Linked DNA regions of Oryza sativa Japonica Group. The main gene of each other region encodes a partner of the protein of the gene in region 4 in a complex. Links are inferred from orthologs where the notes say so. Each region holds a gene or a part of one and is shown on either strand. Other genes may lie near its edges.

Region 1 (4,052 bases), about 31 Mb from region 4:
AGATGACGATCAATACCTAATCCACAAGCTTCCTTAAAGAAAGAAAAAGTCTAAACTTTCTCTAATAATCTAAGGATATGGCATATGTTGGTTGTTCCCCTCGTTTGAGTGGAACTAATTACCACCATCTTTTCTTTTGTTCTTGAGTGATAACCGCAGAATATCACGGTACTATTTTTTTTTCTTTGATGAAGTGGTTATCTATCGTCTTCAAGTGCTGACAATCCGATTGATCTTCAACATATTGTGCTGTTTCTACAATACTAGCAGTGCCCAACTGCCCATGACAGCGATGAAATTGATTTTCATAATAGTGAACCTAAATGCATCCTATTTTTCCTGGTAAAAGATGTTCCTTTGAGATGTATGTCAAAGTTGTGAGCGAAAATTGGAGGAAGGATGCAGGCGTAGAACTTACCATCCCAATCACCAACTCACATACTTTACGTTGTAGAGAGTAGAGATAGTAGGTCCCTCAAGAAGGAATCAAGGAAATGCAGATGTCTCATTGCAGTCTTGCGGCAACCAAATCAATTAAGAGGCTGAAACCCCACTACAGCCCTACATGCCAAAAGAAACTACTTTTGCAAGAACCTCTTGTAAAGTAGTTTCAAATACGGCCTGAACCATATATCATACCCCCAGTGATGATGTTGATCCATTGCAAATTGCAATTCCACATGAATACCACTACTTTCAAGCATCAGATCAGCCCACCACAACACCCATAACACAATTACGTGGAACTTGTGGTACCGGAATACTGGAATAGACCCATCCTAGTCCCTAAAGCCTAGCTGCCAGGAAAGGTACATGCATACAACAAGTCGAACAGGACTAACCAATGAGTTGAACATGGGCCTTGTATTCATCTCACTGTTGATGATTCAGTTGGAATAGACCCGCCCTAGTTCCTAAAGCCTAGCTGCCAGAAAAGATACAGCAAGCCGAACATGGCTAAACAAGGAGTTGAAGATGGGCCTTGTATTCATCTCATAGTTGATGATTTACATTCCAAACATTGTTATCAAACATGGATTGCGAAAATGGAGAAAAACGGGGCAGAGAACTTATCAGCAGTCTGCATTGACCTCAGGACTTTCATCTGCAGCTGCCAACACCAATTGCACCTCAACAATTCCCTCTGCTCTTGCCTTTTTGCGTTCACGCTGCATGCGGAAGTACTCTCTCTTTCTTGCTCTGTAACTGTTTGGGTTCTCAGGTTGTTTCTCGTATGGGTAAACACTTACCTGTAAAAGAAAAGGCAACAGAAAACCACTTAGATACAATTATAAGTAGATGCTGACAAGTTATAGCTAGGATGCAGACTTTCACCTTTTTCTTGTCTGGTCCATATTTCTCGAACTTTACGAGGCCATCGATCAAAGAAAAGAGGGTGTGATCCTTGCCCATTCCAACATTATTTCCAGGATAGACCTAAAATGACCAATGAAAATGTATAAGAAAAAGCAAGAATATGTCCGTAAAATGTGAAATTACTGTATGAAACGCAACTGCTCATAACATGTAGAAACATAGACTATTGCAGAGGGTGTGTGTGGTGGTTCAGGGATAAACTTCAAAGAAGTTGCATATGCATTACTGAAACAGCGGGACAAATGCCAGAACTTGGAAAGTACATCGAAAGGATGCATGCATGCCTTGCAATACGATACAATACATAAGAGGAAGTAGTTTAGCAGCACATGCAACTGTTTTTACAGGATACACACATTTATGTAGCACATTCTTGTGCTATGTTAGTTCATGGATGTGAAGAAAGTAACTATCAGTTGAGTCTTTAGTGCAGAAACAGCACGTCCTAATATCAAAGTGTACTTCCTCCTTTTCTCTCTGCATTGCATTAGAGTGCCTGAAACATCTAGTTCCCCTGAAGTCTGAAGAGTGTGTAATTCTTGGCCACATCCCACGATATTGGTAAGAATGTACCACATGCGGCCACGTCTTAGCAAACGGGTGGCGTTGCATAGAATAACAGACTTTCTCTAGGACCAACTTTGGAACACGATCATTGTCATGCCTTTTTGTTAAAGAATATTCACACCATTCCTGAACTCTGAATTGTGCAGATGTTAGTTAACACAACAACCTCACCTAAATTCACAAATTGTTCAGAGCTGGACGAAGCTATACTATCAGTCAAAATTTGAGGAGAAAAGTCGAACACATGAAACATCCAAGAACCAGTAAGTAAAGGAAGAGGATGGTGATGACCCTGGTGCCGCGCTGGCGGATGATGATGGCGCCGGGCTTGGCGACCTGGTCGCCGTAAATCTTGACACCGAGGCGCTGCCCGGGGGAGTCCCTCCCGTTCTTGGTGCTCCCGGCCCCCTTCTTGTGCGCCATCTGGATCGTCAGCCGCCGCACCGGCATCGTCATCGGCACCCCCATCCCGACCCCGCCGCCGACGGAGAGCGAGACACGGTCAGCGCGGAGGAAGGAGGCGGAGGAGGAGGAATGGCACGGGGAGGAGAGGGACATCCCCTTGAATGCTCCCACCAGTGTGAACGCCATGGACGCCATTGCGCTCTCGAGCAGCGGCGGAGTCGCGAGGAGAAGAGAAAGAGAAGATAGAGTGTGGGAGCACAGCGGCGAGGTGATAACGTGGGAGTGGAGAGGAAGACGTGGGCTCTTTTTTTTTGGGTCGGGATCACCCATTTACGGCCCATCACGCGGTTGGGAATCCCTTTCCGGCCCACGTACTTTGGCCCAGCACACGTAAGCGGGAGGGAATGACGCGCCGGCCCAGCACGTGGGTGGGAATCACGTGCCGGCCTACCGCAAAGCCTTTGTGGGCCCGATGTTGTGGGCTTCGTGGAAACGCGAGGAAAAGGGCCGGCCCATACATCTCTTCTTTTTCTTTTTGCTGGACAAAATTAGATGGAATTACTTTTTTTTTTCAGTTACATTGCAGACGCACCCACGCACACACTATTACACAAGCAACACCACACTCATAGCCCTGCGAATGTGTCCCTTAACATGCGCTCTAAGAGAGAGAAACTAGCGGAACATTACTAATTAATCTCACTAAAATCTTGTTGAAAGTCCACTTGCATATGCGTAATATTCGTGGGCGCTAGGATTTGAACCCTGGAGGATAAAATCATATACCCACAACTCCACCACCACATCACTTTCGCTTCCCAAATTAGATGGAATTATAGTATTGAATTAAACATTACGGAGAAAAAAAAGAGAAATATATTAGCAGAAGGTAACATGGAGAAAAAAAATAGAGAAATATATTAGCAGAAGGTAACAGAAAAGACCAAAAATGAATCATGAATTTCAAAGAGAGAGAGAGAGAGAGAGAGAGAGAGAGAGAGAGAGAGAGAGAGAGAGAGAGAGAGAGAGAGAGAGCATAAGTTGTGATTCTTGTGGCGAAAACAACAAATCAACAATATTTCCTGGAGATTGAAGTCACTTTGCGAGAGGGAGGAGAGGAGTGGAGTTAGGGCCACCAGAATTCCAGAAAGCATATGAGATGGAAGCTAGAAGAAGAGGAGGAGGAGGTGTGGATGAAATCTGAATTGAGTGTGTGGATGAAGTGAATCGAAGAGCCCCAATTGTGAGCAAGAATGATGGCGGGCTTGACTGCAAAGGCAAAGTAGGCTGGCTGGGGATTGATTCCTTGTTGTTGTTGTATGGACACACCACCCCCACCGGCCATGCCCATGCATGATTCATCCTTGACAAAGTGTGCCTCGCTATGGAGTGTGGATCTGTGGATCCAATTATAGCTAGCCCTCCTTAACCCCACCATCCGTTTTCCACTGTTCATCTTCAATTCATGATTAGCCCCCCCCCCCAAATTTTGATTTAGATTATTACCACAGATTATCTACTTAATTATAGGAATAAATTGTATACTATCTTCATTTTTTAATATATGACGCCGTTGACTTTTTCTCACACATTTAACCATTCGTATTATTTAAAAAGAATTACTTAATTATAATTTATTTTGTTGTAAGTTGTTTTATCACTCAAAGTACTTTAAACATGATTTATATCTTATATATTTTCAT
Region 2 (3,129 bases), about 16 Mb from region 4:
GTGGCAAGATTCCTCTTTTATAATCTAGATTTCACATGTAAGTGACTCTAAAAAGTGTGGCATGCTTTTATTTTGGGCCTGTTTAGTTGGTGAAATGAAAATTTTTGGGTGTCACATCGGACGTTTGACCAGATGTTAGAAGGGGTTTTCGGACACGAATAAAAAAAAACTAATTTCATAACTCGCCTAGAAACCACGAGACGAATCTTTTGAGCCTAATTAAGCCATCATTAGCACATGTGGGTTACTGGAAACCACGAGACGAATCTTTTGAGCCTAATCAAGCCGTCATTAGCACATGTGGGTTACCGTAGCACTTATGGCTAATCATAGACTAATTAGACTCAAAAGATTCGTCTCGCGATTTACATGTAAACTGTGTAATTAATTTTTTTTATCTATATTTAATGCTTCGTATATGTGTCCAAAGATTCGATGTGATGTTTTTGCGAAAAGTTTTTGGGAACTAAACATAGCCTTTATTGGCTAGAGCGTGGCTTGGATTTTGATGGCCTCAACTTTAGCGAGAAAACATGGTAAACCTTAGCAATGTTAGTACGTGAACTAACAGCCCCTTACTGCTTATTCTGAAGACCGGACAAACTGATGTATGCAACGATTCTATTCGAGAGCCCAGACCAACACTAGCATGCATCGATTCAACGAGTTGGAAATGTCCAATTACAGAGTGTGCAAATTGCAATATCTCCATTTTATATCGATGTCAAAGAGTACAGGCAGAGAACAAACAGTTCGATACCACAAATATGATCACACGTATCCACTGAGAACACCGATCGAACACCTAGAGAGCAATGCGAATGCACGTGTAACGAGAGGCGCAAGCAAGAGGAGCTAATCCATTTTACGCAATTCCCAAAATCAACCAAGAGAAACCGCACCGGCGAGGCCGGCGGCGGAGGCGAGAGGCGAAGCGGGGGCTCAGCTGGCGCCGGCGGATCCCTCCTCCTCCGGGTCGAACTCCGGGTCGCCGTCGGGGTGCATCTCCCTCCACTGGTCCTCGGGCCAGTACTCCTTGATGTGGCCCCACTTCTTGCGGAACTTCTCGATCTGGCTGTCCATGACGACCATCGCCGACGTGTCGCCGACGTAGTAGGGGTGGTTCCCCGACCACACGTCCACCGTGTACTCCGGCTTGGTTCCCCCCGTCACCAGCACCAGCTCCCCGTTGCAGTACACCTTCGCGTCCTCGTAGATCTCCGGGTGCAGCCCCTTCTTCCGCATCGAGCACCGCATCCTCTGCACGGCAAATCGTCACACCACCGCCCAGTTCCAATCACCTCCTCCGAATCTCCGATTCGGCGGCGCTACGCCTACGCGGTTGTGGGGGCATCGAAGGAATCGTACCTGGGAGGGGACGAGGGAGCGGAGGGTGGTCCTCGTGGCCGCCGCGGCGGCTTGGGTCGGGAGGAAGGAGGTGGAGAGGGAGAGCGCCATGGCTGCTGCTTCCTCGCGCGCTCGCGTCGCACTTTGCTCCGGATTCCCCTGTTTCGTGTCCCTTATCGGTTTCTGGTGTGTGTTATCCTCTCAAGCGTTGATGATTCTCAATTTTTGAGGCTTTGGTGCCGTGCGGGTGGCCGCTCGCCTGCCTCGCTTTGGCTGGGCTTTCTTAATTGTTGTTTGGTTTGGGCTGATACACGTTGGTTACTTACTGGCCCAGAAAAAAAAATGTATGCAATTATTTCGTTTACGTGGTAAAAATATGCAGAATTCCTAATTCTCGCATACGCGCCGCGGGCGCGCACTTCTGGCCCACGCGTATGCACGGCACCGCACGGGCGCGGTTAGATTCTTTCCATAGCGCATGTAGTAACTAGTCCATTAGTTTTAGCGTGTAAAAAAATACATTAGTTTTAGATAATCAAGATAAGATTTGTTTTTTCCGAAAATTTTTTAAAGTAACAGATTGAAAAGAAATTTATACATCAAGTCAAATTCTGAAAACTTTCAACCCATATTTGAAAACTTTCAACTCGAAATTTGAATTTTTTTTAAAGTCAAATTTTGAAAACTTTCAACTTTTCATCTCAAATTGAAAAAATTCAACTCAAATTTAAAACTTTCAACTCAGATTTGAAAACTTTCAAGTCAAATTTAAAAACTTTGAAGTCAAAATTTAAAACTTTCAACTCTACATTTGTAAAGGGGTGTGCGAAAGATTAAAAAAATAGAAAGAAATGGCGAAAAAAAAGAAAAACGCACCCGGATCCAGGCGCCAAAATCGTAAAAAAAAAGTGAGAAAGAAAAGCACGCGGGAACAGGGGAGGGGGCCAACTGACGCGGGCGCCAGCTAAATTGCTAGCACGTACGTGCGCATTAGCCTCCCCAAAGATATGGGTTAATTGGATCATGTTATTGCAAGTTTACCAATTTGCCATTACTATTCACGATATCAGGTTCATGCCACTGAAATTTTGCAAAATTTGAGCTATGCCACTCCGTTACAACAACTGTCAATACCTCTGTTAGCTCAACACCGCACAACGCAGATCAGTTTCTTCTTCAACTCAGGCGAAAATCTGGCGGTTCTCAGGCTCGTCGACGACTGCACGGAGAGAGCTTCTTCGATGAGGGCGTTGCCAATCCGGTGACGATTGCAAGCTTAATACCCAATGAAGGGAGGTGGAGCTGGAGGGGAGTGACGGTCATGAACCCTGCATCGCTGGTGGAAGGTGGAGGGAAGCGCCGAGCCCAACCCATGCGTTGGAGGGGAGTGGCGGTCACAGACCCCACGCCGCCGGTGAAAGATGGAGGGGAGCGCTAAGCCTAATCCCCGCACTGGAGGGGAGCGGCGTCTAGAACCGTCATCTTCCTTGCCGGTGGAGCCCCACGTGCCGCGGCCAATGAATCTACAGTTATATTGGGATGGAGACCCGCCACCTCTTCTTCTCCCCCATTGTCTTCCTTGCTGATAATGCCCCCATAAGCTGTGGCCGACGACACTATGGTGGAGCCATGGAGGCAAGGTTGGGGACGGAGACCCGCACCACCTCTTCTTCCCTACCGTCGCATGCGATGACTCCACGCTGTGCGCTGAGCCCGCCGCCATCGTCGAAGGAGAGGGTGACAAAAATTGTGATGGAGTGGCATAGCTCAAATTTTGTAAAA
Region 3 (2,998 bases), on a different chromosome or scaffold from region 4:
CATCCTTATCCATTGGGCGAATGATATTGGCATATTGACATGCCTGGTAGTCACTCCTGCAAAACTACAACTATCACTCAAGTACAATAACCTAGGACAATACCATGACTGTCAGAAGAAATCAGTATCAAACAAATAAGTGACCATGTGATCATCAATTTTGCCAATTCTATTCTTGATCCACTGCGCGTTCAGACAGAAATGATACAAATTAGGTATGTGGTGAGCTGGTGACCAACAGTAAGTTTCAGAAGCTAATTCAGAAGAATTTCCAACTCTAATTAGTGTTATTCTGTTACTAAAAGATGAATTAATCATTTAATTTTGTTCACTTCAAGGAGGTTTGCTCTTAACAAAAAGAGCACAGTTAAGTTCATGATTTTAAAACATCTCATCATACTGCTTTGAACAACTTTGTTGTAAACCTGGATACACTGATTGATGGTACAACTACACAAGCACTAGTAGTTATTGACCATTCTAATTGTGCATTGCCATTGCCCCTCAACCTACTAAACTTTGATCTCTGTAGTCTCTACAGGTAAAATTAAATTATCAAAACACTAGTTGTGGAACAAGCATTCCCTCTAAGTACGCAACGTAATCCTAATAACATCAGAACTCGGTAATCTTATGAAATCAGACCAGTAGGCATGCGTTGTAAGAGGTAAAACTTTTGTGATTCAATTCAAACGTGAGGCAGTAAAAGTACAGGAATTCTACAAGAAATGAGTGAGATGAGAGAAACGAAGCCACAAAACCATCTCTCAACAGCCATCAGGCGGCGCCGACCTCCTGCTCGAGCTTGCGCACGTACGCCGAGAGCACGGAGACGACGTCCCTGGCCGGCGCCTGCAGCGTGGTGACGACGGAGGTCGCGGGCCCCTGCAGCGAGCCGAGCAGCTTGGCGTACACCTCGGCGCGGCTGGGCATTGTCTCGAGCGCCTTGAAGTCCCCGGGGGCGTAGAACTTGCCCTCGAACACCGCGCCGACGAAGTCGTTGGTCTCCTCGAGGCGCTCCTCCTTCTGGAAGGCGCGGTAGGGCTTGAGCGCGGCGGGGACCTCCTCGGTGTGGACGAACAGCCACGCGTTCATCCCCTTCATGCACGGCTTGAGCGCCTCCCACGGCGTGCCCTCGATGGCCTTCCCCACCAGCGTGTTCTTCGCCACCAGCAGCCGGCAGGTCTCCGGGAGGGTGTCGCGGATGCCCTGCAGCTGCTTCACCGTGAGGCCCTCGTAGCGGATCCCGGCGAGGAGGTAGCAGCCCTCCAGCTGCTCGCGGACGGCGGCCACCGTGTCCTCCTTGCGGCCTCGGGTGATGGCCGCGCTGATGGTGGAGCGGCGGAGCGGGCGGGGGCGGGGGCGGGGTGCGAGGGTCTGGAACGCCGGGAGGGGCTTCGCGGTGGGGAGGGTGGTGCGGAGGAAGGAGGAGGTCTCCATCTTCGGAGGCCGGGAGCTATGGCGGGTTGGGAGAAAGAGTGGAGTGGGAGAGCTTATCTGTGGGGAAGATGAGGCGGGGGGCTCACTGGATTATGTGGGACCGTATCGTCAGTGCCTGAGAAGATGGTGAACTCAGCTCGGTCAGCTGCACAGAAAGAAGCTTCCGTGGAGATTGACCTTTGCTTGAGGATTTATAGCCGTTCGATCTTGATCCATGAGCGGTTGAAAATAAGATTAAGAGTTCCAAATAAAAAAAAATAGAGGCATAGAGCAAACGCGTATGTGTGGTATTCATAGACGTCAATTTAAACCATAGTGAGTGAAGTCGTGTACCAACAACTCCAATCTTCACTGCCTTGTTCAACACAGCATACATCACTATTGTTTTCTTGAGTTCAAAAACTCTTGATATGTACAATAAAACATAACATACATCAGTGTACTGAATTATTCAACACAATAGATATCACTATATAAGAAAATGACAGCGATTAGGCGCCCGATCAGCGGTAGAAAAATCGGGCGCTCGCCGCCTCCCGCACGCTCCCACCCCTTATGCGTTGTCCCCCCCCCCACGTGCCCCACCACACGCGTCGTTATAACAAATCACCCGCACATTAAGGAAATACTTTATTAAAGGAATCCGTTTCATTTTTTTTTCCACCAACAATGTTTTAGCAAGTGTACTCGTGATGTTTCACTATGTATGATCAAATGTTGCAATGATTTGAAACATCCTTTGCTATTTGCTGAAATATTGTTTTTATATAGGATGAAACAATGCCTGATTTTTTTTTGGAAACTGTTGTTTCATATGTTGTAACAAAATATTTCACGATGTGATTTGGTTGTGTTTCAGCTTTTTTAAAAATATTGAAACATTTTCGATCTATTTAGTGAAACAATGCCTGATTTTTGTAAAAAATCGAGCGCCCGATTTGTAGATGCATCACTATATATATATATATATATATATATATATATATATATATATATATATATATATATATATATATATATATATATATATATATATATATATATATAATTCAAACTTTTTTTTACAGGTAAGAAAACCATGCGAATCTCTTGTACGACGATCAAAATGGATATAAACATTGCAAGGATGTCAGGTGGAAAGGATATAAACTGCGACGATCAAGCAACAGCAGCTGCTCTGATGCTGTAAACACGGAGTTGTTCCGGACTCAGCATGCTCAACGCAATTTCACAGAAAACCAAACATCCGATGCTTACCATTCTCTCCATAACTCGTGTGCACTTCAAGCCATCCCTAACATGAAATGATGGTTTTGATAATGGAAGTGTATAGTTCATATAATAATGTCATTGGTAGTACTGAAATCCAAGAAATAAGATGCAGGGAAACAAGAACGTCTGGTACAGGGTGAAATTCACTTTTAGCTCTGCTGCAGCTCTGCTGCCCTGAAACCCTGACGATTCTACATATATAATGTCCGGCCTATCTCTCAGCCAGGAAAAAAAAAATACTATAGCGCATCAGCATATTTTCTGATGTCCCAACTTAAACAAGTGG
Region 4 (3,368 bases):
GCAAGGCAAGCAAACAAAGATTCTTTCCAGCAACTTAGGAAACTAGGAATCCATCTTATGAGACTGTCAGACTGATGCTGAAAAAGGTCAAAAACATAGTCAGCTACGGCCATGTTCAGTTCCTACGATAGAGAGATTACAAATTTTGTTTCCACAAAAAACATCGTGGTTAACATTTCAAGAACTTGTGACGGTACACCATCAAGTCACAAAGATGGCTCAAGAAGGCTAAATTTCAGATAAATTTTACAACCACATCAACAGGAAGGGCATCAGAAAAAAAATCGAAAATGGCACTCTTCAGATTGTTCACATCGTGCCTGACAAAGTGGCAAACAACAAACAAACCCGAATTTGCTCCAGTTATTTCCTTGTCCAGGTTGATCCTTTGTGCTTTAATCAACATCAGGTCAGACGAAAGAGTTGTGAGAGGCCCTAACAAAACACATCATGGAAGTGTATATACAGGCAAATACCTCACAAATATAGAGTGCAGCACAGCAAGGCTTCTTGAAATTTGCTATGATTTTGAGTTTTTGACAAACACAGAAGGCATCAAGGTGCATATGATATTTCCACTATGGGAACACACATTAGATTTAGTGGTACTTCTGTAGGACAGCTAAAGCCTAAAGGAGAAAAAGGAGGGACATGTTAGAAGAAAATTTGTTCAGTACTGGGCTTTGTGTGTTTTTAACGGTGACCGGTTTATCCATTATCTAAAAAATACAAGATGAAATTTCATCGGGAAAGAAATAATCACATTTTGCAAACATTGTGTTTCATATTTTGAACAGCAAAATTCGCTGGGCATCAGCTTAGGAAATACAGAGACGGATGAACAGAACATAGAGGTGTACAGAAGAACAGCGACCGACATCACTGCTGGTTAGACGTTCTTGAGCTTCTTCATCTTGGATGGTGGCCATCTACCTTTCTTCCTCAGCCGCCTCTTCTGGACAAGCCTCCTGCGCCGCTGCCTCAGCTTCTTGGCCAGCTTCATCTTCGCCCTCTGCTCCATGATCATCTTCTGCTTAGTTTCGAGCGGCATTGTCTCAATCGAAACCGTGGGTTTTGGCTCCTCTGGTTGATCTGTGCCAGCTTCTTCTGCGCCAGCCTCTGCCGAGGCATGGACAGAAACTAGCCTCTTCTTGGTGAAAGAAGCATTCAGAGGGCTCTGCGAGGAGAGATTCTTGCACTGGAGCCTTGGGGCTGTAGCATCAGAAAGGACAAATGGCAAGCCTCAATGTGCATCATTTTAGATATAGAATTCAGAGTACATGCATGCTACTTTCAAAATTTTGATAGAATCTCCGTCATATAAGAAACTTGAAAGCTAATAAGTCTAGCTCATGTGTGCCACTTCATGGATAGTATATAGTACAATAACTAGTAACAATCCTAGTGTTCTCAATTACATATTATGATGAATCTTAGCAGAGCACAGATATGTAAAATCTACTCATCTATTAACAATCAGGCCCCAAATGTAGGGTGTACTACGAATGTCACCCTTTGCCAGTGACCGGTGCTTACATAGCATCTGATATTATCATTTAAGCACGAAAGAACCAAAGCTTCGAGAATCTGCAGAGTTCACTGAGATGAATTATACCTAGCTTTGTACAGAGATGATAAATGCACGGAATCTCCCACGAATTACTGCATCTGCACACGACGTGTTTGAAGAAATTCCCTAACGAGCCAACCGCATCCCAGAGAATCAGAAACGCCACGAATCACCAACGTCAAATATCTAGACCAATCCTCCCACCGAATTACAAATCACACCTCACAACAATGGATAGCCTCGTACCCACTCAGCATAATCCAATCCAAGAACCAACACCCCACAACCCGAGTAACTTATGCGCAAAAGTCCCGGTACGGAGAAGGCGTTCACGGAGGTTACCGGGGATGGTGGAGGCGACATTGGCGGAGGCGGGGAGAGCTCTGGCGCGAGGCGGGGAGGCGGAGGAGGAGGCGAGGAAGGAGACGGTCGGGGAGAGGAGCAGCGCCATGGCCACGGGCAGTGTGGGATTCGGCTTCTTGGCCCGTCGTCAGCCTATCCACCCATCAGCCCGGAGGGAGGAGATAAGCCTGTGCTGCTGTGAGCGCTCCGCCGTCCGATGGAGAATCAACGGCCAGATTTAATCTCCGTCAAGTAAGGCTGCTTGGCAGTTGGCCCACATGTCATAGGTGGAGAGAAATTTTGATTTTGATTTTCTTTTTCTCCTCTCGCCGCCTCCGCCGCCGCCGCGGGTGGCGGCGACAATCCGCATCGGCGGCGTCCCCTCCGCCCGGCCGCGCTCGCCGTCGCGTCCTACGCCGCCGCCGGCCGCCACATCCTGCGTTCGACGTGGATAGCAAGAGGTGGGGGAGCTCGCCGACGACAAGAACCTCCCGTTCGACGGCCAAGCGGGTGCCCATCGGTGATGAGAAGAGCAGCTAGCGACAACCTCTTCGTCTCCCACTCCAAGCCGAAGCACGCGCCGGCGCCGCCGTGTACCGCATCAAGAATGTCTCCTCCTCGTCGTCGCCGTCGCCGTCGCCGTCGCCGGCGTAGAGCAGTTTCAGCATCGAGGACGAGGAGGTGTCTGTACAGGAGCTGCTGCCAATGGTTGATCCGGGTCGTCAGCTCTCGTGCGCCATTGGGGATGGAAGCTTCTGCTCCTTCAGCTCGCGGACACCCATCAAGATTATGGAGCGTGCAGAGATCCTCCAGCCGAGCGTAGCTTCGACATGGACATCAATGCTGCCGGAGAGGAGGATGAGGATGATGCACGAGCCATCGTTGTATCAGTGTCAGAGAAGATTTACAGAATCTACGACAAGTCTCGCAGGCTGGCTCGCAGGGTTCAAATTTCCGGTTCGACCAAAGTTTTTTTTATTCTTTTGTGTGAATTTAGTAATATTTATTCAAATTTGACCAAATTTTGTTCGAAAATTCAAATAATTCTGGACCAAATTTCGGTATATCAGCACCCCAATACAAATACTGAAAACGAAAAATTGAACCATGGGCTCGCCAAGCGCCACTGATTGCTACATTGTTTATCTAAGAAAGCTTTGAGTGGGGTCGGAGACGCCTTGCGACAACATTGGCAAACTCCTCTTTGTGGGAACGACGACGACAGTTGGAGATGGTACAAAAGCGAAATTCTGGGACTTTGCTTGGTTGCAAGGGAGAAGGCTTAAGGAAGTTGGCCCCTCTGGTCTAAGCGACTTTCTGGAAGAAAAACAGAACTCTACAGTAGGCCACCAAATCTGGCCAATGGCTACTCGACATCAACCTATCGGCGATTGCAACTAGGATGACCAAACTAATCAGTCAGCTCGTCACTGTCTGGAATGCAGTCCAAGAAGTG

What was found.
Region 1: large ribosomal subunit protein cL37 (region 4) and large ribosomal subunit protein bL27c share a complex: the UniProt entries of both Arabidopsis thaliana proteins name them as parts of the 50S ribosomal subunit. The link is inferred for Oryza sativa Japonica Group from reciprocal best matches to the Arabidopsis thaliana genes PSRP5 and RPL27.
Region 2: large ribosomal subunit protein cL37 (region 4) and uncharacterized protein share a complex: the UniProt entries of both Arabidopsis thaliana proteins name them as parts of the 50S ribosomal subunit. The link is inferred for Oryza sativa Japonica Group from reciprocal best matches to the Arabidopsis thaliana genes PSRP5 and emb2184.
Region 3: large ribosomal subunit protein cL37 (region 4) and large ribosomal subunit protein uL10c share a complex: the UniProt entries of both Arabidopsis thaliana proteins name them as parts of the 50S ribosomal subunit. The link is inferred for Oryza sativa Japonica Group from reciprocal best matches to the Arabidopsis thaliana genes PSRP5 and EMB3136.

What each region holds. Positions count from the first base shown.
Region 1 is NC_089035.1:41,095,380-41,099,431, reverse strand, and holds large ribosomal subunit protein bL27c, read right to left. Parts: upstream 2,628-4,052; 5' UTR 2,545-2,627; coding exon 2,236-2,544; intron 1,438-2,235; coding exon 1,336-1,437; intron 1,251-1,335; coding exon 1,074-1,250; 3' UTR 782-1,073; downstream 1-781.
Region 2 is NC_089035.1:25,929,315-25,932,443, forward strand, and holds uncharacterized protein, read right to left. Parts: upstream 1,543-3,129; 5' UTR 1,459-1,542; coding exon 1,369-1,458; intron 1,261-1,368; coding exon 943-1,260; 3' UTR 682-942; downstream 1-681. UniProt on the Arabidopsis thaliana protein: Binds the 23S rRNA.
Region 3 is NC_089037.1:9,831,725-9,834,722, forward strand, and holds large ribosomal subunit protein uL10c, read right to left. Parts: upstream 1,502-2,998; 5' UTR 1,441-1,501; coding exon 778-1,440; 3' UTR 655-777; downstream 1-654. UniProt on the Arabidopsis thaliana protein: This protein binds directly to 23S ribosomal RNA.
Region 4 is NC_089035.1:9,871,168-9,874,535, reverse strand, and holds large ribosomal subunit protein cL37, read right to left. Parts: upstream 2,068-3,368; 5' UTR 2,022-2,067; coding exon 1,913-2,021; intron 1,213-1,912; coding exon 890-1,212; 3' UTR 740-889; downstream 1-739.